Arabidopsis thaliana: one gene and its partners. The protein of the gene in region 3 interacts with the protein of the main gene of each other region in a pairwise test. Each region holds a gene or a part of one and is shown on either strand. Other genes may lie near its edges.

Region 1 (5,901 bases), on a different chromosome or scaffold from region 3:
TAACCATGAAAGAGAAGAATGATCGTAATGAAACTGTGCTTCAAAGAGTATAGGAGCCAAGTGTTTTTGTGTTTACCTGAGAGCAAGTCCCATGGAGTAGCAGTTTCAAAGTCGTTACTTTTCTTAGGACTCCTTGACGGGCGTCTCCAGTATTCCCGATAAGATTCAGGCCTGTTGTCTTCTCGCCACATGATCACTGGAGCCATTTCCATAGCTAGGCTATGCGAATCCATCTGCAAAATGCAAACAAATGATTCCCAATATTCAGATAACTTATATGATTCCTGAAAAAAGGATCATCTTAAGTATCTAGAATCAGAGATTAGTGTTATAACAACTTATTCCCACTTTGTTAAGAAGTGATTTCTGGCTCACACGAAGCAATAGCGCTGTTATGAACTCCAATGTATTATAATTCACATTGGAAAGCTTCTGGAGTGACTGTCTCATTCTGTGTATGCTCGACCGTGCATCTTTGATTTCATTATAAAGCTCAAAAGTAGTTAGTGGTGTCGGAAGGCTAGCAAGATAGTATTTCAAGAGTGCAGCGACATCAACTGGATTCACACCCTCAGGTATTGACGCCCTAGGATCTGCCAAACAAGTGATTCAATTAAATGACAATTTCTCCATGAGCCATAAGAGTCGAAAAGAAATCTTGCTACCTTGATTGTAAGCAGAAACCAATTGTTGAATCAACTTTCTATCTCCTTCGGCCTTGAACAAGTTCGGTGAATTAAGTCCTGGGTAAGAGGAAAATATCACATTGATAACTCGATATGAGAAGGTGTGAGCAATAAAAGTGTTATTGCTCCATTGGTCCAAACATTATTACCTGTTAATATGAGATAATCTGCGCATTTAACTAGTATCAGAGGAATAGGCCTGCTTGACTCCTGCCGCTGGACAGTGATCTCAATCGCAACACCAAACACTGAGTGCCAAAAACATTTGTCATACAGAGAAAGTCACAGCATTTCAGACACGCAATCACTAATAGTTATCTCAAGAACGGTAATATAATTAAGTATCCCCACATCAAAGAATCCATTGAATTTTCGATTAACAAACGTTTAAACTGTAATCTCTCCATATATTGCGATCAACTTACCATCTGAGCTGGCAACTCCCTGCAGAATTACAAAGAATAGATATTAGAGACCAAACTCAAATCAACGGCATACAATCAGATTTCAGACTCTAATAGTCAAATACCTTTTGCCACCTTTCGATATCCGTCAAAATGGTCTTGCTCTTTTGTGCAGTCTTTTTGGCCGCCTAAAGAGAAAACATGGATACAAAGAATTTAGCTGTCAGAAGTTAGAAGAATGAAACGAGATACATACATTCTTGTCGAGTAACTTCGAGAAGCTATGTGTCTAGAATACCTCTTCCACTTTGATCTTTCCAACAGAAACCTTTTCCTTTGTCTCAGTTATACCCTTCCTGACAAAAGTCCCGGTTGTGGCAGCAGCTGTTATGAGGTGTTCTTGCACGGCATGTCTAGTTGCAGGCTGCTGAAGAATTGCCCACCGGCTTTTAAACAACGACCCAACTCTTTCTGCAACATCTGCAACATTCACTTTCGCATCCTTAGCAACTTCCCCGACAAAACTACCAGCAGTCTGCCCTGCTTCCCTAAGCTTCGTTCCTAATTCAGTAACTCCATAGTAAGCTTTCCACCATAAACACTCACAGAGAGAAACGAAATGAGGTTAGCATAGAAATTATCAAACCTGATGAAGAAAAGAATCCACTAGTCCTCTCCTGCCATTGCTGTGAGATGAGAGAAGGCATTATCCAATACCAACCACTTTAAACAAGTCACTAGAAACCTGTTTGCATCAAGAAACAAATGGGAAGATATATACTTATTCTTAGCAAATTATGATACAACCTCACAAGCGGTATTATCCGTTGTAATCAACTTCATCACATGAAATCATCTTCAATCTAATCATATACAATTGATACAGAAGAAACACAAAAGAAAACCAAAACCTTGACTTCATCGTCAACCATGGAATGAATTTCTTGACAAAGAATAAAAACCAAGTCTTTAACTGCCAAAAGGAGATAACTTTTAAGGAACACAAACCCTAATCCTATATTCTCTAATCAATCATATACGAGAATCAAAAAGAACAAATAGAACAAAAGCAATCCGATCATCAAACCTTTAGAACAATCCCCAGAAAAATTGAGATAGCTGATGATCGAATCGAACTAAACCCAATTCCTCGATACGATCAAAGACGACGAAGACGAGAGTCAGCGATATGATGAAAAAGAAATTGATCGCTCCAGGAGATGAAAAGGTTCCACTTTTTTAATTTCCCCCTGGAGCAGAGAAAAAAAGATATTATTGCTGTTTAGGTAAAAAAAAAGTCGGCTTTGAATTTTGAATAGGAAAGTCTTCTTCCCTTTGCAAATCACAGATATTCTCTCCGTCACGGACTGTGACGGTAATAAATATTCTGTTGGTGCCACGTGTAATAAGTTTTTCTCTTCACAAAAATGGTCCTTCATCTTCTTTTAGTATCTCATTTGTGACCTAAGCTTCTAATTTCACAGCTTATCATCCCCTTAATGTTTTAAGTTTTTTGACCATAGAGTAAAATTATTTTACTATAAAATTAAAAGCAAAAAATAAAATTTACTATAAAATTATAATTATAAAAAGTGAATGTAAAAATGATTCCATAAATTTACATGATTGATAGTAATTATTCTGCCAACTTAATTCCACATGTATATCAGTATTTATATATAGAAAATGATGGTTTTTCTACATAGTCAAATTCCAAAACAAAATATCAGTATTATGGAATTAAACAATCAAAGTTTGCAACTTGGTATGTCCAATATCATCGAAAGAGCTTTATCATTCAGTCGTTGAAAAAAGTATAGCCATCTTTTTCTTCTATCGATTTTCAAAAAAAAAAAAAAAAAAAAAAAAAAAAAAAAAAAAAAAAAAAAAAGAGGAAGATAATGAAGGTAGGCAGTGAAAAGTCTTTCTTCACATGTCTTTTATTGTCCACTTTCGATATCTCATCAGCCAGAACCGAAACAAACAAAAACTATAAGTCCCACACTCAAGTCAATTAAAGCACTCCAATGGTCCAACAAGTTTCGTCGTCTACCTTGAAACTCAACCTTTGGATGATTGATATACAAAAATACAGGATCTAAAAACACCTACCGAACTTGAATAGTAGGTGTGTTGTGTTTGAGTGTCTCTCTAGGTAAACATGGTAGCAGAAGAAGCAAGAAAAGAAGCCATGGCTAAATCAGTATCTGGCGGGAAGATTACTTATTTTGTGGTGGCTTCATGTGTCATGGCCGCCATGGGCGGTGTCATCTTCGGCTACGACATCGGGGTTTCAGGTTCACATATATATTCTTGCTAATTAGGATATATATGTTCTTTCTTTTTTTTGTTTGTGTTTGTGTTTGCGTTTGCAAAAAGAATAAATCATATTTTTGAAGTAGAAAACATTTTAGTTTTTCATAATATTTAAATGAAATGTTGTGGTTCTCTAAACCTAAACATAAATGCAAACATGTAACTATATAAATATGTAGGTGGAGTGATGTCAATGGGGCCATTTCTAAAAAGATTTTTCCCAAAAGTGTATAAGCTCCAAGAAGAAGATAGAAGAAGAAGAGGCAATAGCAATAACCACTACTGCCTTTTCAATAGCCAACTTCTTACATCCTTCACATCTTCTCTATACGTTTCCGGTCTCATCGCTACTCTGTTAGCTTCGTCCGTGACTCGTTCATGGGGTCGCAAGCCCTCTATATTTCTTGGCGGTGTGTCCTTTCTCGCCGGCGCTGCTCTTGGTGGCTCTGCTCAAAACGTTGCTATGCTCATTATTGCGCGTCTCTTGCTCGGCGTAGGAGTTGGATTCGCTAACCAGGTAACAAAAGACAAGTTGATTAATGATGTTTCAATTTTCTCTGTATGTTGACTGGTTTGTTGTTTTATATTTTAGTCGGTTCCTCTGTATCTCTCCGAGATGGCGCCGGCAAAATACAGAGGAGCAATCAGCAATGGTTTCCAGCTCTGTATCGGAATTGGATTTCTATCTGCAAATGTAATAAACTACGAAACCCAAAATATCAAACATGGTTGGAGAATCTCTTTAGCCACAGCTGCAATACCTGCTTCAATCCTCACTTTAGGATCACTGTTTCTCCCGGAAACGCCGAATAGTATCATCCAGACCACCGGAGATGTTCACAAGACCGAGCTTATGCTTCGCCGTGTCCGTGGAACTAACGACGTTCAAGATGAGCTTACTGATCTCGTTGAAGCGAGTTCTGGTTCTGATACAGATTCAAACGCGTTTTTGAAACTGCTTCAAAGAAAATATAGGCCTGAGTTAGTGATGGCTTTGGTGATACCTTTCTTTCAGCAAGTTACTGGAATCAATGTTGTTGCTTTCTACGCACCGGTTTTGTATAGAACCGTTGGGTTTGGAGAGAGTGGTTCGTTGATGTCGACCCTCGTGACTGGAATCGTGGGAACCTCGTCGACGTTGTTGTCGATGCTTGTCGTTGACAGAATCGGTAGAAAGACTCTGTTTTTGATTGGAGGGTTACAGATGCTCGTGTCGCAAGTTACCATTGGTGTGATCGTTATGGTGGCTGATGTTCACGACGGTGTGATCAAGGAAGGGTATGGTTACGCGGTTGTGGTTTTGGTGTGTGTCTACGTGGCCGGGTTTGGTTGGTCTTGGGGTCCATTAGGATGGCTTGTACCGAGTGAGATTTTTCCGTTGGAGATAAGATCGGTGGCGCAGAGTGTAACTGTGGCAGTGAGTTTTGTGTTTACTTTTGCGGTGGCTCAAAGTGCACCACCGATGTTGTGTAAGTTTCGAGCTGGGATTTTCTTCTTTTATGGAGGGTGGTTGGTGGTAATGACGGTAGCGGTGCAGCTGTTTTTGCCGGAGACTAAGAATGTTCCAATCGAGAAGGTGGTTGGACTTTGGGAGAAGCATTGGTTTTGGAGGAGAATGACGAGCAAGCGTGATATCCAAGAAACCACCATTCTTAGCCATTGAAAACAATAAAAAAACCAGCACCTCATGATTTGAGATGAGACGCATCTTTTGTTGCCAAAAAAATTATTGCATATAAGTTTTAAAATTTTCAAAGTTCAAACTAAATTAAGGATATTTTTTTACTATTCACGTAACAATAATCAAATCACATGATCCAAGATTCGATTATTGTTCAAATTATTTTGTAAATTTAGCCATAGTTTCATTTTTTCACTTATATGTTTGTGAAATAACGATTTGTGTTTGGAATTAAAATTAGGGGTGTTTTATAAATATAGTAAAACTAGGATAGTGATAATGTAATATATTGAACGTTAAAGGACAAAGATGGGAAATAGAAAATAAAGTTAGGAGGCAGAGAAGAAATGGGGGCCATAAGAAAATGGCAGCATTGACTCTTCATCATCATCATCATCATCGTCATCACTCGTGTCTTCAAGCGTCTGGACATCTGTCACGTCGTCTATATCACCGAATATTCTCGAGCTTTCCACGAAATCCCGTCAAAGATCTCAACTTTCGTCTAAGTCTTGCCGATTTCTCGAGTTTTTCTTTATCTACACGTGGCACTGTGTTTGCTGTAAGAGCTCTGAGTACAGTCGCGGTAGAAGAGTCGTCCGAGAAGAAGATGGTGAAAGGGATTAGGGTTTATGAGCATGGCGGTCCTGAGGTGAGTAAAAGATTCGATTTTGAAGTTCCGGGTCGGATTTGGATCATTGAAATCAAATTAGATTGCGATTGTGTCTGTTTCTATGTGCTCGTGTGATTATAGTTCAAATGATTTGAGATTCCCTATAAGCTTCAGCTTTTTTCAATGGCTAGTTTTCCAGGT
Region 2 (6,361 bases), on a different chromosome or scaffold from region 3:
GTTGTTAATAAAAAGGAATGACATAAAAAAAAATCGTTTACATTGACTTTGATTGATGACTTATGGTCGTCACAAACTATTCACGTTAATAAATGGAAGCTGCATGATGTGAAACTCAAATCAACGAAGTCGAAAAAAACACCATGTCTTCTCTGATCTCTTTTATCTTCCTTTTCCTTTTCTCATTCCTCACTAGCTTCAAAGCTTCCGCTCAAGATCCTTTTTACTTAAATCATTATTGTCCAAATACGACAACTTACTCAAGATTCAGCACTTACTCCACCAATCTCAGAACCCTTTTGTCCTCTTTTGCTTCCCGCAACGCCTCTTACTCCACCGGATTCCAGAACGTCACGGTGGGACAAACCCCCGACCTGGTCACCGGACTTTTCCTCTGCCGCGGAGACCTCTCGCCGGAAGTTTGCAGTAACTGCGTTGCCTTCTCCGTTGACGAAGCGTTAACTAGGTGTCCAAGTCAGAGAGAAGCTGTGTTCTATTACGAGGAGTGTATACTCAGATACTCTGACAAGAATATTCTATCGACGGCCATTACAAACGAAGGAGAATTTATCTTGAGTAACACCAACACTATTTCTCCTAATCAAAGTCAAATAAACCAGTTTATAGTTTTGGTGCAATCTAATATGAACCAAGCTGCCATGGAAGCAGCCAACAGTTCTAGAAAATTCTCTACGATAAAGACCGAATTGACCGAACTCCAGACTTTGTACGGGCTTGTTCAATGCACTCCTGATCTTACAAGTCAAGACTGTTTGAGATGTCTGACAAGATCCATCAATAGAATGCCACTTTCTAGAATTGGAGCAAGACAGTTTTGGCCAAGTTGTAATTCAAGGTACGAGCTTTACTCGTTCTACAACGAAACTACCATTGGAACACCATCTCCACCACCACCACCGTCGCCAAGCAGAGCAAATTGATGTGCTGCTTTTTACGTCGAAGTTTTGGCCAAGTTGTAATTCGTTTTGCTCTGCTTTACAAATTGACGTGTTGCTTTTTCTCTGCGTTTAAAATTGGTATCATCGAAATAAAGTAACTCAGTTTCTTACAATCAAAGAGATAAGGATTGTGAAGCAGCTAATGAGTCTTCTTATTTTGTCTTTACTTCAGTCTTCTCGTCTTTGATAGTGAATTGCTCATCTAGCTTTCTTAATCTTAGACTTGGTCAATGTTTTGGCTTTTCTCATACTAAACCAATTAATACATAAAATATTTAATTTATTTTCTATTACAATTATCTAGATATTTTTAGCTACACGTGATTGAAACGTGTCTCAAGCTACACCAACGCTCTTCCTCACAAACTGAATTCGTCGTCGATAGTGGTTGCTCTTGCTATCTTGATGTTTACTTCGTCTGATCGTTGAACTGGCCCGCTGCAACATTCTGAGTGTTCCAAGTGATTATTCTAGTTGTGCGTAACACCGTAACAGTAAAAATGAGCTAAGGAAAGCGAGATGCAAGGGAGAACCAACAGAAGCATAAGTTTTTCCTCTGTTATTACTAATGGAAAAAAACTTTCTTTTTCATTTTCTAATTCCTTGTCAGATTTCTCAGCTTCTCTTCTTTTTGTTTTGTGTAAGACTTGGTCGGAGTCTTAGATTACGCTGATGATTAAAAACTACTAAAAAAGAAAAAAAAAAGAATATTACGCAAATGTTCTCGATGCATTGACCAAGTCCTCTTCTGGTTCTGGCTCCATTTTCACATGCAGGCCCATAACCAATTTTAACGAGATTTGTTGCATGAAAAGCCGATTGTTTTTCCTTGGCAGTAACGAAAAAAAATTAGTTACTTTTTAAAAACTAGGGTTTTGAATAATATCATTAAAATCAAATAGAACGAACTAGGGTTTTGGCATCATACACCGCCTCATTCAATTATTAACAAAGCTGAGTCTTCTTCACGGAGAAATCACGGCTGAGCTAGGTCTCATATACCTTGCATCAATATCTTGGGCCTTTACTAGGATCGGAGATACATCAAACATAAAATACTTCTCGGTTTTATTTTCTCTTTCCTTATGTATATGTGAATGCCTTTAAAAATTTTGATTGCCTTTTTTCTCGTTTTGGAATAGTCATGAGAAGCTGAGAACCAAAAAGGAAATATTTCTCACCTTTGCAACTAGCTAGATGGAGCTTATGGATGCAAAATTCGTTTTAAAACACATTGTATTCGGATGATGTCAAAATATTTCACATTCATATAGCAAATTCATGTTTATATATTCCGATATTAACTTTAAATATTAAAACTTATATGCTGTAGATTCATATCCGGGTGAAAACACGAAAGGACTTATGATGGAACCATTATATGGAACGACGTCATGTGGAATATCAAGTTATTTAACTTCTCGCGAGTAAGACTATAAAAAGTAATAGAATAATTAGTAACTAACAATATCAGATAACGATAGGCAGATGATTTGGTAATACTATTTTAGTATCACTACATCACAATAACCATACTAGCATATACGATATACAAATTAATAAATTATCGTGCTTAAAACAAAAACCTATTATCAACCAATAATTTCTTCGCATCAGTGGCGACAATTTTTTCAGCCCCAGAATGATTCTTTGAAGAATAGTCAACAAAGATTCCTAATTTCAACAATTCTGTTCAAGGAAAAGTACGAAACAAATTCTACTGCTAGCTAGTTTCTCTCATGTATATCTAAATTCTATTACTAGTAATTAAGATCTTTGAAATCATGCCAACTGCTACATTTATTTTCTCTTGAAAATCCCAACTACCTTTTTTTTGATCAAAAAAAAAAAAGACTTTAGAGTTCAAAGCTTGAATTTAGAGTTATTATGTTTTAAATTTTGACAGTTTTGATAATTTTCTTCATTTTAAAATGATTTTATATTTTCCGTAATTTTTTTCTATATTTCATATATTAAAAAAATAAGTAATGGATTAGTAGCTAAACACAAGAAGTTGGACAAGACCCGACAATTTAATACGAGACGCGTTGACCTTGACCTTGACTTTTCGTCAGCACAAAACGTTATCTACGGTAGTCACTGAGAGAGAACAAACAATCAAATTTGTTTCATATATCACTCAAAGCTTGATGAGAAGAAACACAGATCAAGAAAGCCCAATTATGTCTTATTACTCCTCTTTCTTCTTCCTTTTCCTCTTCTCCTTTCTCACGAGTTTCAGAGTTTCTGCTCAAGATCCCACTTACGTATACCACACCTGTCAAAATACGGCAAATTACACAAGTAACAGCACTTACAACAACAATCTCAAGACCCTTTTGGCTTCTCTTTCTTCCCGCAACGCTTCCTACTCCACCGGATTCCAAAACGCCACCGTCGGCCAAGCTCCAGACAGAGTCACCGGACTTTTCAACTGCCGTGGAGATGTCTCAACGGAAGTTTGCCGTAGATGCGTCTCCTTTGCCGTCAACGACACCTTAACTCGGTGTCCTAACCAGAAAGAAGCCACACTTTATTACGATGAGTGTGTACTTAGATACTCTAACCAGAATATTCTCTCGACACTAATAACCACCGGTGGAGTTATCTTGGTTAACACCCGGAATGTGACATCTAACCAACTAGACCTGTTAAGTGATTTGGTTTTGCCTACTCTGAACCAAGCCGCCACCGTAGCCTTGAACAGTTCCAAAAAATTCGGTACGAGAAAAAACAATTTTACTGCGTTGCAGAGTTTCTATGGACTGGTTCAGTGCACACCTGATCTCACGAGACAAGACTGTTCGCGTTGTCTCCAACTGGTCATCAATCAAATACCTACTGACAGAATTGGTGCAAGAATTATTAATCCGAGCTGTACTTCAAGATACGAGATCTACGCGTTTTACACCGAATCCGCCGTTCCACCACCACCACCACCACCGTCAATTTCTACTCCTCCAGTTTCAGCTCCTCCGCGATCTGGTCAGAGCTCTGTTTTTTTCCTCTGTTTTTTTTTTTTGCCCTGATTTCTTGAAATTGGCAAAACCAATATAGAGAGTTTTCTTCTATCTGATTTTTAAGCAAATAATCTTTGAAATGCAGGAAAAGATGGGAATTCAAAGGTGTTAGTGATAGCCATTGTTGTGCCTATTATAGTGGCTGTTCTGCTTTTTATAGCTGGTTATTGTTTCCTTACAAGAAGGGCAAGGAAGAGTTATTACACACCATCTGCATTTGCTGGTAAAGATTTCAAGTGATAAACGATCTTTAATGTCAATGCTCAGCTTGTTTTTCCTGCTTCAAAGACTTTCATTGTGTAACAGGAGATGATATCACAACAGCAGACTCACTACAGCTTGATTATAGAACAATTCAAACTGCAACAGATGATTTTGTAGAGAGTAATAAGATTGGTCAAGGTGGATTTGGTGAGGTTTACAAGGTAAATTATAGTTCCCTTGAGCTGTGTTTTTTTTTTCTTGAAATTTTAAGCCAACACTTTTGGATAATGGGATGATGCTGATGAAAACAACAGGGTACTTTATCGGATGGGACTGAAGTTGCGGTGAAGCGACTATCAAAGTCATCAGGACAAGGTGAAGTAGAGTTCAAGAACGAGGTTGTTCTTGTTGCAAAGCTACAACATAGAAATCTGGTTAGACTTCTTGGGTTTTGTCTAGACGGAGAAGAAAGAGTACTGGTCTACGAGTATGTGCCCAACAAAAGTCTTGATTACTTCCTCTTTGGTTAGTTGCATTTAATGCTTTGTTTCAATGATTCTTGATACTTGGGGTTACGAATGTTTAGAGATCTCATTGTGATTTATGGATGTGGACAGACCCTGCAAAGAAAGGCCAGCTGGATTGGACTCGACGATACAAGATTATCGGTGGAGTTGCTCGAGGGATTCTGTATCTTCATCAAGACTCACGACTCACAATCATACACCGTGACCTCAAAGCCAGTAACATTCTCTTGGACGCGGATATGAATCCTAAAATTGCAGATTTTGGAATGGCTAGGATCTTTGGATTGGACCAAACCGAAGAGAACACAAGCAGAATAGTTGGTACCTAGTAAGTCTTCCTCATAACTTCTCATAAGTTGAAGTTTTCTGAACATTCTTTTGTTAACATAGTTTTTGTTGTGGGTTTATAAGTTGAAGTTTTCTGAACATCCTTTGGTTAACATAGTTTTTGTTGTGGGTTACAGTGGTTACATGTCTCCCGAGTATGCAATGCATGGTCAGTACTCAATGAAATCTGATGTCTATAGCTTCGGAGTGTTAGTTCTTGAGATTATAAGTGGCAAGAAGAATAGCAGCTTCTACCAAACAGATGGTGCACATGACTTGGTCTCATATGTAAGTTTTAAACCTATCAAGTTCCATATTTACCTGAACATAGTTGCAAGTGTTGATTGATTGAATAATATTCTAGGCTTGGGGGCTTTGGAGTAACGGGCGACCATTAGAACTCGTGGATCCAGCTATTGTAGAAAATTGCCAAAGGAATGAAGTTGTTCGATGTGTCCATATCGGTCTTTTATGTGTTCAAGAAGATCCTGCTGAGCGTCCGACGTTGTCAACCATTGTTCTGATGCTCACTAGTAACACTGTGACTTTACCCGTGCCACGGCAACCCGGTCTTTTCTTTCAGAGTAGAATTGGAAAAGACCCGCTTGATACAGATACAACGAGCAAATCTCTTCTAGGGTCTGTTGACGATGCATCCATCACAGATATACATCCTCGATGATGATGAGTTTTTCCCTTCATACCTGATTCCTGAATCTATTGGTGTTGAAAATAAGTTAAAAACTTCTTTTGTTATAGAATGTTTGTATTGTAATTGTAACCACAAGCAAGTATAAGATATATACCATTTACACGTTTCTCCATGAAGACGTAACAGTGACTTTTCCCTCCAAATTAAGCTTACACAACGATCTAGCAGGTAATTTGATTCAGCATGAAGAGAGTAAAACCAGTAATCGAGAAACGATTCTTAAAGAACTGTGAACTGTTCATAAGCATTTTACAGTGGACACTGTACAACATACAATTACAGATAAACCTGCTATGTTTCTTATGTCCGTGGACAAATAATATAAATGTCATCTGACCATTTTTCTGTTACAACTTTTAAGCTATGATGAGGAACCACATCAATTTTTACGAACTAAATGAGGAAGACTTGCTTGTATACTGATCAGACTCTGATCCTTCAGATACCAGTTTCAGTTGCCTGCTTCGTGGGAAAAATCCCGGTAGGCGAGGCACTGGTAGAGTAATTGTGTTACTAGTCAGCATTAAGATGATTGTTGATAACATTGGACGGTCTTCTGGATTTTCTTGAACACATAACAGCGCGATATGGATGCACCTAGTGACTTCATTA
Region 3 (8,650 bases):
AATAGAAATATGCATACATTTCTTTTTTATCTTTAAATGTCATTTGCAGATTTATATCTATTTTTTTCTACAATTATTTATTAAAATTTAAATGCCAAATTGGTATCAACCACTAATTTGGGTTTAAAAACAAATACATATCTTTGTTGGATCAGAAGAATAGTTGTGGTATTGAACCGTTGGATTGAACCAGAATGTAAAGATTAAACGAGACTTCACAAACAGAACAAATAATATTTGTTCGGGAGAATTCTCTAATCTATATAACAATATCTTAAATAATTTAATTTCTTAAGTCTTTCTACCAATTTTTTTTTTTACAACCATATTTCATTAAGAAAGTTCAAAGGACTACTACAGAGGGAAGCCCAATTACTACAATGAAAATACAACCTAAGTTTTAAGAAAACCTAGATGCTGACACGTGTTGAAGTCTTCTGCTTCATCAAGCCACGCATCAGTTGATCGAGCGCTGCCGTGTTTTTCTCGCCAAACATCACCGCCTTAGATCAGCCACCGTCGATCCGTCGTGGAGCGATGGGTGGTTGCCTCCTGTCTGACGATCTCGAACCCAAGCCGTAAACGCCGAGAACCTCCAGATCTATCATATGGTATGCTTCAAGAGTTCTCCGAGCAAATCCAACTCCTGGGAAGTTCCATCACAGACAACACCTTTACTGATGCAGTCGAAACATTGCTCCAAATTCACGAACAAAGAAAGATAATGAAGATATTACTCCTCGAGATGATTGGGAGGATCGGATGAACCTCGAGGGGCAGTTGGACAAGAGATTAGTCTCGCCGTCGCGAGAAAACAAAAACCGGACTACTCTAGTAGACTGACATCCGACTAGAAGTCGAAAACTTATTTAAATCTAATATAAATCTATATCTACTAAATCAACAGTCACTTTATCACAAACTGCAACATTCTCCTGTTTACACGTAAGCAAAGTCTTAATTTATTGAGTTTTGATTTTTCTGAAGCGTAAAACAATAATTCTTTTCTCATTAACATAAATTATTAAAGAGATTTAATCCATAATTTATTTCTTTCTTTCTCGCCATCTTCATCACTATCTTCCCCATTCCCCATATCTTGCAACAGTTATTGCTAATTTATGTTGTTTCATCTTCTATGCAATTTTCTAATTACGAATCTCAAATTTTTCACATTCGGATCAGTTATTTTCTTTTCCGCCTGCTTTACACCATGACGCCATGGCAGATTAACAATCCTTACATTTTTTTTGCTGCTTGCCATTCTCAAACCAAAATTCATCTCACTCTCCCTTCTCATTCGAGGTCAGTTATGGCTGAAGAAGAGGTCAACCACAACGACTGTATATTCAATTAAGGTATCAAATTTGTAAAATTTCTGAATTATTATAATTTTCAGTTTTCCATATATTGTTTTGGCTTTCAGTTTTAACATCATTTTCTTTATACTTTGTGAATTATTACAATTTTCATCTAATCACATCTCATTGTTGGCTATTAATGTTGTCAAGAGAAAGTGTTTGAGAATCTGACTTTAAGACGACATGGGTTTCGTTTTCAGGATCCCGTGTGAAACATTTTCAGAAAAATAAAACTCTTACACGATCATGAGTCATGACTAACCCAATGACATGCTAAGGTTATCAATTCTCAATTAGTTCTTCCTTTATTTTTTATTTAAAAAAATAGTTGATCTTATATTTTTAAACTCAAATATAGTGCTAGACAAATTGACTTTTTGATTTTGTGAAATCACAGTAAAACAAAAAACGAAGCCATACAAGCACAAGATGTACTGATATACACTAGAGAAAACCAAAATTTTTTCAGTTTTAAAATGGTGATATAGATGAACACAAGAGTCATATATCTGAAAAGCTGAGACTATACGACAAAGGAAAACAGAAACAGAAGAAAAAGATATCCATAAGGTTGTAAAACATGTTTTCTCATGCAATTGAATCTTCAATAGAATTGGATTGATTACAAATTTATGGACCATTGGATTTTTGTTATGCTAGAATCTTTAGAACTTTGGAAATTTCGAGTTATGAGGTTTAGAAGTTAGGCATTATTGAAATTGTACGACGAATAGACTATATAGAGAATATATATTTTATTTTTTATTTTTTGGGCAAAAAAGAATATGCTTTTACCTGTTTTTCTAAAAAAAAGTTATCTTACACAGGACACACTAAAGATAACGCTTTCAAACAAAAGAATTTATTTTTTATCAAATTATTTTTGTCCCGAACGTAGTCCAGGCTTCATACTAGTAATATTTATAAGTCCGAATAAATCCGAAAATAAACCCAGACGATATAGAGCCTCTTCTCTCTGAAAAATTAGAAGAGATAAAAGAAAAGAAACTCTCTTGTATTTTGCAAGATTTTATTTTCGGTTTAACGGAAATCGCCTGCTCCCCAAAAAAAAAAGAGTTTTTTTAACTGAAATAAGTCTTTCTACCAATCTTGTTAGCAGAAAAATGTGACAATAGTAGTAGTTCGATACGCTCGTGACTTGATTCTTGTCTTTTTATGGTTTATGGTGTAGCAAAATTAAATAATTGTTAGTTTTTCTATTTTATTATATAAAACAATATAGAATGATTTAATTATTTTATTTCTTAGAATGTTTTATAAGTTTCAACTTTCAATACATGACTATTTGTATTTTATAATTGGTTGAATCAAATATCAAATAATAAATTTGTTTACTAAAACATTATTATATATTTTCTATATTATGAAACATAGGTAGGTTTGTTAGTCAAAATAAATGGTCTATAAAATGCAAGATATCTTAGCTAGGTGTCTATAAACCACTCACTGCTACTTGCTGCTTGGCGTAGACGGCTTTTCGTTTCCCAATAAAAATGACGATTTTTAAGCAAACAAAAAAACATTAATCTATAAAGACAACAAAAAAAACAGAGTTGTTCTCATAAACCAATTCATACACAAACACTCTAGTCTCCTCTCTTTTTCTCTGCCTTCTCTCTTTTATTTATTCCCTCCTTCCCTCTGGTCCTCCATCAGATACAACAACAGAGACTCCAAGATGGCCGGAGGAGGAGGAGAGCTCACGGCGGCTTTGTTGAAAAAGACGGCGGAGAACGGCGGAGAAGAGAAGGATGAGTTAGGGTTGAAGCAAAAGGTTTGGATTGAATCAAAGAAGCTATGGATTGTGGCGGCGCCAGCGATCTTCACGAGATTCTCAACGTTCGGAGTTTCAATAATAAGTCAATCTTTCATCGGCCATCTTGGTCCTATAGAGTTGGCTGCTTACTCTATCACCTTCACCGTTCTCCTCCGGTTTAGTAATGGTATCTTGGTGAGTACTTTCTTCAATTATTACTCTCAATTTTTTTACCAACAAGTTAAATCATTTCTTCAAACATTGAAATCTTCGTGATACTATTACTGACCATTCATAAATTAAACGCGTTTTTTGTTTGTCATAACCCTTAGAAATAACTTTTCATTAATCTATTTACCGGTGATTGCCTTAGAATGCATAACTATGCAATAAATTAAATTGTGGTACCTTACTGAAAATAGAAAAGAAAACATTGAAAAATGATTATGACAAGTCTTTTTTCGGGAAAGAATAATTTCTCTTTTTTTTCTGTTCAACAATTCCTTTTGTTGCACATTAAATATTATTGACTAACAAATGAAAAATCAGAAATATAATTAATTCTTCCAAAACTCAATAATAAAGCACAGCATGTTTTTGATTGGTCAGAATTAAGAAGAAAAAGAAAAAACAGAACTACTGATTGTAATTTATAAATGGTTCCTTTTGACGGATAATTGAAATAACATAAATCATGTGAGTCCTGACAGTTGACACTGCTTGACGTAACATGCGGTGGTTTCTTGCGAACCACATATCAAATTTGTAGTCTCTTCTCGTATTTTCCACAATTTTGTAGAATAATGCAGTAGAGAAATAATTCTATACCAGTTTTTAAAAAGTTAAAGGGTTTATTATACAAAAAGAAAAAGAAAAAGAGAAGGGTTTATTATACTATAACCTTAAAAGAAAAGGTGTAGGAAAAGTATTGCAGTTGATAAATTATTTTTGGGAAGACAAGTTTGACAAGATTTTTCAATGGCAGTCCACTTAGGAGGCGTAACCACTCTCCACCCTGAAAATCAAAAGTTGTTTCATATTTTACATGTTTTCAGTATACAACTCCAAAAGTACCATCATATCAAAATTTTGTCGAAGCTTTTAAGCCATACACTAGACGCCATAAAGAGCCAAAAGAGAGACAAATAGGATCTAATTATTGAACTATCAGACAAAAAGAAAGTTTTGAACTCTTTTTATATACCTTCTAATCAAAGTCAAGTCACTACACTGTAACAACGTTTGAGCTAGATCCTGATAATTTTACATACTCATCAAAATTTGGTTCAGTTTATATGGTCTTGAATGATTTTGTATGGAATGTTATTTTGGCTAACATTTATTATGAAGCTATGTAGATGTCTCAACTTTGGTTATTATAACTATCGTGTAATAACGAACCGTAATGCAGTTAGGTATGGCCAGTGCATTGGAAACACTATGTGGTCAAGCCTACGGAGCTAAACAAAATCATATGCTCGGGATCTACCTCCAAAGGTCATGGATCGTCCTTACAGGTTGTACCATTTGCCTCACGCCCGTCTATATCTTCTCTGGCCCTATCCTCTTAGCCTTAGGTCAAGAGGAACGCATTGTCCGTGTGGCTCGGATCATAGCCCTATGGGTCATAGGCATCAACTTCTCTTTTGTGCCTTCCTTCACTTGCCAAATGTTCCTCCAAGCTCAGAGCAAGAACAAGATCATTGCCTACGTGGCTGCTGTCTCCTTAGGGGTCCATGTCTTCTTGTCGTGGCTACTTATGGTTCATTTCAATTTTGGGATCACTGGTGCTATGACCTCTACGCTAGTTGCGTTCTGGTTGCCTAATATTGCCCAACTCTTGTTCGTCACGTGCGGTGGGTGTAAGGACACATGGAGAGGATTCTCTATGATGGCCTTCAAAGATTTATGGCCCGTCTTCAAACTTTCTATGTCTTCCGGTGGAATGCTTTGGTAAGGTTTCCTCTATTTTTTTAAGCAGCAAACCATATAATTATCAATTAGTCTAGGATTTGATCCTAAAGTTTTGGTTACAATAGAAATTCATATGAATAGCTTTACATGTAGGTGATATGAAGTTTCTAATTAAACTAGTAAGAGTCAAGTCAAAACCACATGCTCTTAAGTTTTTTACTTACTAGGAATGACTTTCAAAGACTGACAGTTTGAAATAATCAATGTCGTATAAGTAGACTACCTTACTAAACTATATTTACATGTACGCATATTGAGAAGTTTATGATTATACAATAATAATTATCACTTTATGGCCGTTATTTTGGGCAGCTTGGAACTATGGTACAACTCAATCTTGGTACTGCTCACTGGAAATTTGAAAAACGCAGAAGTGGCTCTTGATGCACTAGCAATCTGGTAAACTAACACGACATGACCAATACCGATTAATTCAAACATCTATTCATTTTATTTAAAATGTAGTATGCGTAAATAAACTATTCTTAACCATTTATTTTATATAGCCTCAACATAAATGGACTGGAGATGATGATAGCACTTGGGTTTTTGGCAGCTGCAAGGTACATACATATATTAATTCATACATATACACTTCACTTTATTAATTCTATTTATGTATCGGTCTTCTTCCTTGTCTTTTCTCTAGCGTAAGAGTGTCCAACGAGCTCGGTAGTGGAAACCCCAAAGGAGCCAAGTTTGCAACACTAACCGCGGTTTTCACATCACTCTCTTTAGGAATAGTTCTATTCTTCGTCTTCTTGTTTCTGAGAGGAAGAGTTTCCTACATTTTCACTACAAGTGAAGCTGTCGCAGCCGAAGTTGCCGATCTTTCTCCGCTTTTAGCCTTTTCCATCCTCATGAATAGTGTTCAACCCGTTCTCTCTGGTATGTATATTAGCTAGTTGGCGCGAGATGGTTATTATTACAGTATCGAATATAAACCGATATTTGAAATATTATGTGTCTTGGATCGGTTTTAACCTTAACAGGAGTTGCCGTCGGAGCTGGATGGCAAGGATATGTTACTTACGTTAACCTTGCTTGCTATTACCTTGTCGGAATTCCTATTGGTATTATCCTTGGTTATGTCGTTGGTTTGCAAGTGAAAGTAAGTTTTATTTTCTTTATAATTTTCTCCTTCTTTATAACGGTCTTGAAAACAAAAATGTGTGAAAGTAAAAAAATTAACATAAAAAAAGTTATTCTCTAAATTTTCTTAGGGCGTATGGATCGGAATGCTCTTTGGAATATTCGTTCAGACTTGTGTGCTTACCGTCATGACTCTGAGAACAGATTGGGATCAACAGGTTATAAATCGATTACTATGTTTTCTAATTTGTTCCTAGCAAGCTATGTTTTTGGTGCTTATTCTTATACCGTTTGTTGCCAAATATATTAGGTGTCAACGTCGTTGAGACGTTTAAATCGGTGGGTTGTACCAGAATCTAGAGACGTAAACCAAGTATCATCAGAGGAATAAATTGGATTCTAGATTGTCTTTAGCACCGTCACATTTTATTCTTAAAAGCTAAAATGTAACTTTTAGGCTATGTTCCAAGATTGTGAAGACAAGAATATGACAAATTTGGGTCGATTTGATGTCCTCGCAACTAACTTGTAATAAGATTCTAATGTTTAACCAAAAAACGAAAACGAGATCCTAATTTTTGGATTAACACTAGATAGTGTTACATTTAGCTATGATTCATCAAACACAAAATTATTTTGGGGTTTATAACCAAAAAAATAAAAATAAAAATAAAAAATTTACTATTTATGTGAAAAGAATAACAAAAATTAAAATATTTGGGTGACCTTCTCAAATAGTATAGAAAATCACACCAATTTTATTTTGTACTATTTGAGATATTCATGGTAAGAAACCATAGAGCGATGCTCTAAAGTCTAAATAGTGACAGTTTGGTTTTAAAACATTTAAAACAAATTTGTTGACTAATAGAACTGAATTTTTTTTTGTCTCATTTAACAACTGCAATTGTAACATATATATATTTTTAATAGAAATAAATTAACAAACTTTTTTTGATGATTTATGAAAACTATTTAATGATATAAATGTTTGGATACTAAACTTGAATTATTTCTCCGTCGGCTTTGTTTGAAAATATATAGAAAAAACAATTAACGGGCCATGTGCTTGTTGCAAATAATCTATTTATTTTTCATTTTAGGAATTTTGTTTCTCGGCACGAGTTGGGCTGATTTTGATAAGCCCACATGACATTGTTTTAGGGTTTCTGTTTTTCTTCTTTATACTTTTTAAAACGCGGCCAGTGAATAATTTTCTAAGGTTTATGCTTTAATCAATGAGATCAGTTAGAGAGAGAGATAGAGAGTTTTGTACAGAAAAACTCCATAGTGGTTCATATTCACAACTTTATCCTTCAAGTCCAAAAAATACAAAATAATCTTATGAAGTCCAAAATAATACGCAATATAATCTTTTTTTCACTATTGTCAAATTTAAATTTTTTGATAAATAATATACCAAATCAAAGATCTCTAGATAAGGAGTTCAACTTTATCTTCAGAATTCTCAAAAACTAATGTATGAGATCGTGAAAACATTCTAATATATGTAAAATTAAAAAATGGACTATATTGCGTATTATTTTGTATTTTTAGGACGTATAGGATAAAATTATAAAAATAGACGATTTTAAGGTTTTTTTTCATAAAACCTTTTTTTTAATACAAGTTAAATAATTTTTTTGTAAATAATTTTTTGTTGGAATGTCAAATTTATTCAACAAAAGAAAATGATTACAAAGAGTTTTGAAAGCTAAAAAATAGAGAAAATAAACGTGAAAAGTAGAAACAAAAATAATGGAATTGGCGCCACTTACATCATTACAGAAAGTTCAAAAGGCCTAATTCTGACACAATATTATTAACGGGCCATGGGCTTAATGACAATAATAAACTTTTCTCACTTTTGAGTTTTAATAAGCCCACATTTGCTTTAGGGTTTCTGCGTCTCTACCTTTAAATTGCTTCCGACGATTCATAAACTAGGGTTTCTGCCTTTAGCCGTCGTGAGAGAGAGAGCAAATCGAAGAGAGAGCAAAGAGAAAATAATATGTTGTTTGCGTTTGGTACGGTGACTCGATCTGTGGCTAATTCAGTGGTGGTTTGCTACGGCTTTCTTTCGACAATGGTGTTTTCTTTCGACCTAAACTTGATAGACCGAACCAAACTGAACCAATTTTTATATATATTTACTCAATTAAATCCTAAACTCCTCTATTTGATCTGAACCCGATCAACCCGAATACATAAATATCTAATCTTATCCATCTGAAAGGATACTAAACTCTCTAATTCGAATTACCCGAATCCAGAAAAAGCCGAATAGCATGCATTCTATTGGTACTTGATTATATTAATTGGCATATATATGACCTGTTATTGCCAATAATATATTTTGGGTGTTTCCTGGGCTTCAGTTTTATTGGGCTAGGAATGGGTGTACTTTTAAACCCACTTCTGATTAGTCTCTTAGTAAAACCCACTT

Evidence for each region. Proteins that work in one complex are often made in the same cells at the same time.
Region 1: the proteins of AT1G33110 (region 3) and AT5G61520 interact in a protein complementation assay, tested with the Arabidopsis thaliana proteins (one large-scale study listed by BioGRID).
Region 2: the proteins of AT1G33110 (region 3) and CRK10 interact in a protein complementation assay, tested with the Arabidopsis thaliana proteins (one large-scale study listed by BioGRID).

The regions. Positions count from the first base shown.
Region 1 is NC_003076.8:24,738,526-24,744,426, reverse strand, and holds AT5G61520 (Major facilitator superfamily protein), read left to right. Parts: upstream 1-3,025; 5' UTR 3,026-3,251; coding exon 3,252-3,387; exon of another isoform or gene 3,388-3,585; coding exon 3,586-3,923; intron 3,924-3,998; coding exon 3,999-5,069; 3' UTR 5,070-5,401; downstream 5,402-5,901. Other genes in the region: AT5G61530 (small G protein family protein / RhoGAP family protein), read right to left, coding at 77-233, 349-593, 666-743, 836-934, 1,112-1,130, 1,216-1,278, 1,389-1,691, 2,002-2,022; AT5G61510 (GroES-like zinc-binding alcohol dehydrogenase family protein), read left to right, coding at 5,452-5,739. UniProt on the Arabidopsis thaliana protein: Mediates an active uptake of hexoses, probably by sugar/hydrogen symport.
Region 2 is NC_003075.7:12,135,062-12,141,422, forward strand, and holds CRK10 (cysteine-rich RLK (RECEPTOR-like protein kinase) 10), read left to right. Parts: upstream 1-2,933; 5' UTR 2,934-3,109; coding exon 3,110-3,944; intron 3,945-4,064; coding exon 4,065-4,202; intron 4,203-4,285; coding exon 4,286-4,404; intron 4,405-4,497; coding exon 4,498-4,708; intron 4,709-4,800; coding exon 4,801-5,038; coding exon of another isoform or gene 5,039-5,039; exon of another isoform or gene 5,040-5,170; intron 5,171-5,174; coding exon 5,175-5,325; coding exon of another isoform or gene 5,326-5,385; exon of another isoform or gene 5,386-5,401; coding exon 5,402-5,719; 3' UTR 5,720-5,861; downstream 5,862-6,361. Other genes in the region: EP1 (receptor-like protein kinase-related family protein), read left to right, coding at 144-941; CRK11 (cysteine-rich RLK (RECEPTOR-like protein kinase) 11), read right to left, coding at 6,136-6,361.
Region 3 is NC_003070.9:12,002,024-12,010,673, forward strand, and holds AT1G33110 (MATE efflux family protein), read left to right. Parts: upstream 1-2,830; 5' UTR 2,831-3,060; coding exon 3,061-3,333; intron 3,334-4,549; coding exon 4,550-5,091; intron 5,092-5,424; coding exon 5,425-5,511; intron 5,512-5,618; coding exon 5,619-5,675; intron 5,676-5,761; coding exon 5,762-6,000; coding exon of another isoform or gene 6,001-6,017; exon of another isoform or gene 6,018-6,104; coding exon 6,105-6,223; intron 6,224-6,335; coding exon 6,336-6,422; intron 6,423-6,514; coding exon 6,515-6,595; 3' UTR 6,596-6,829; downstream 6,830-8,650. Other genes in the region: AT1G33102 (uncharacterized protein), read right to left, coding at 510-608.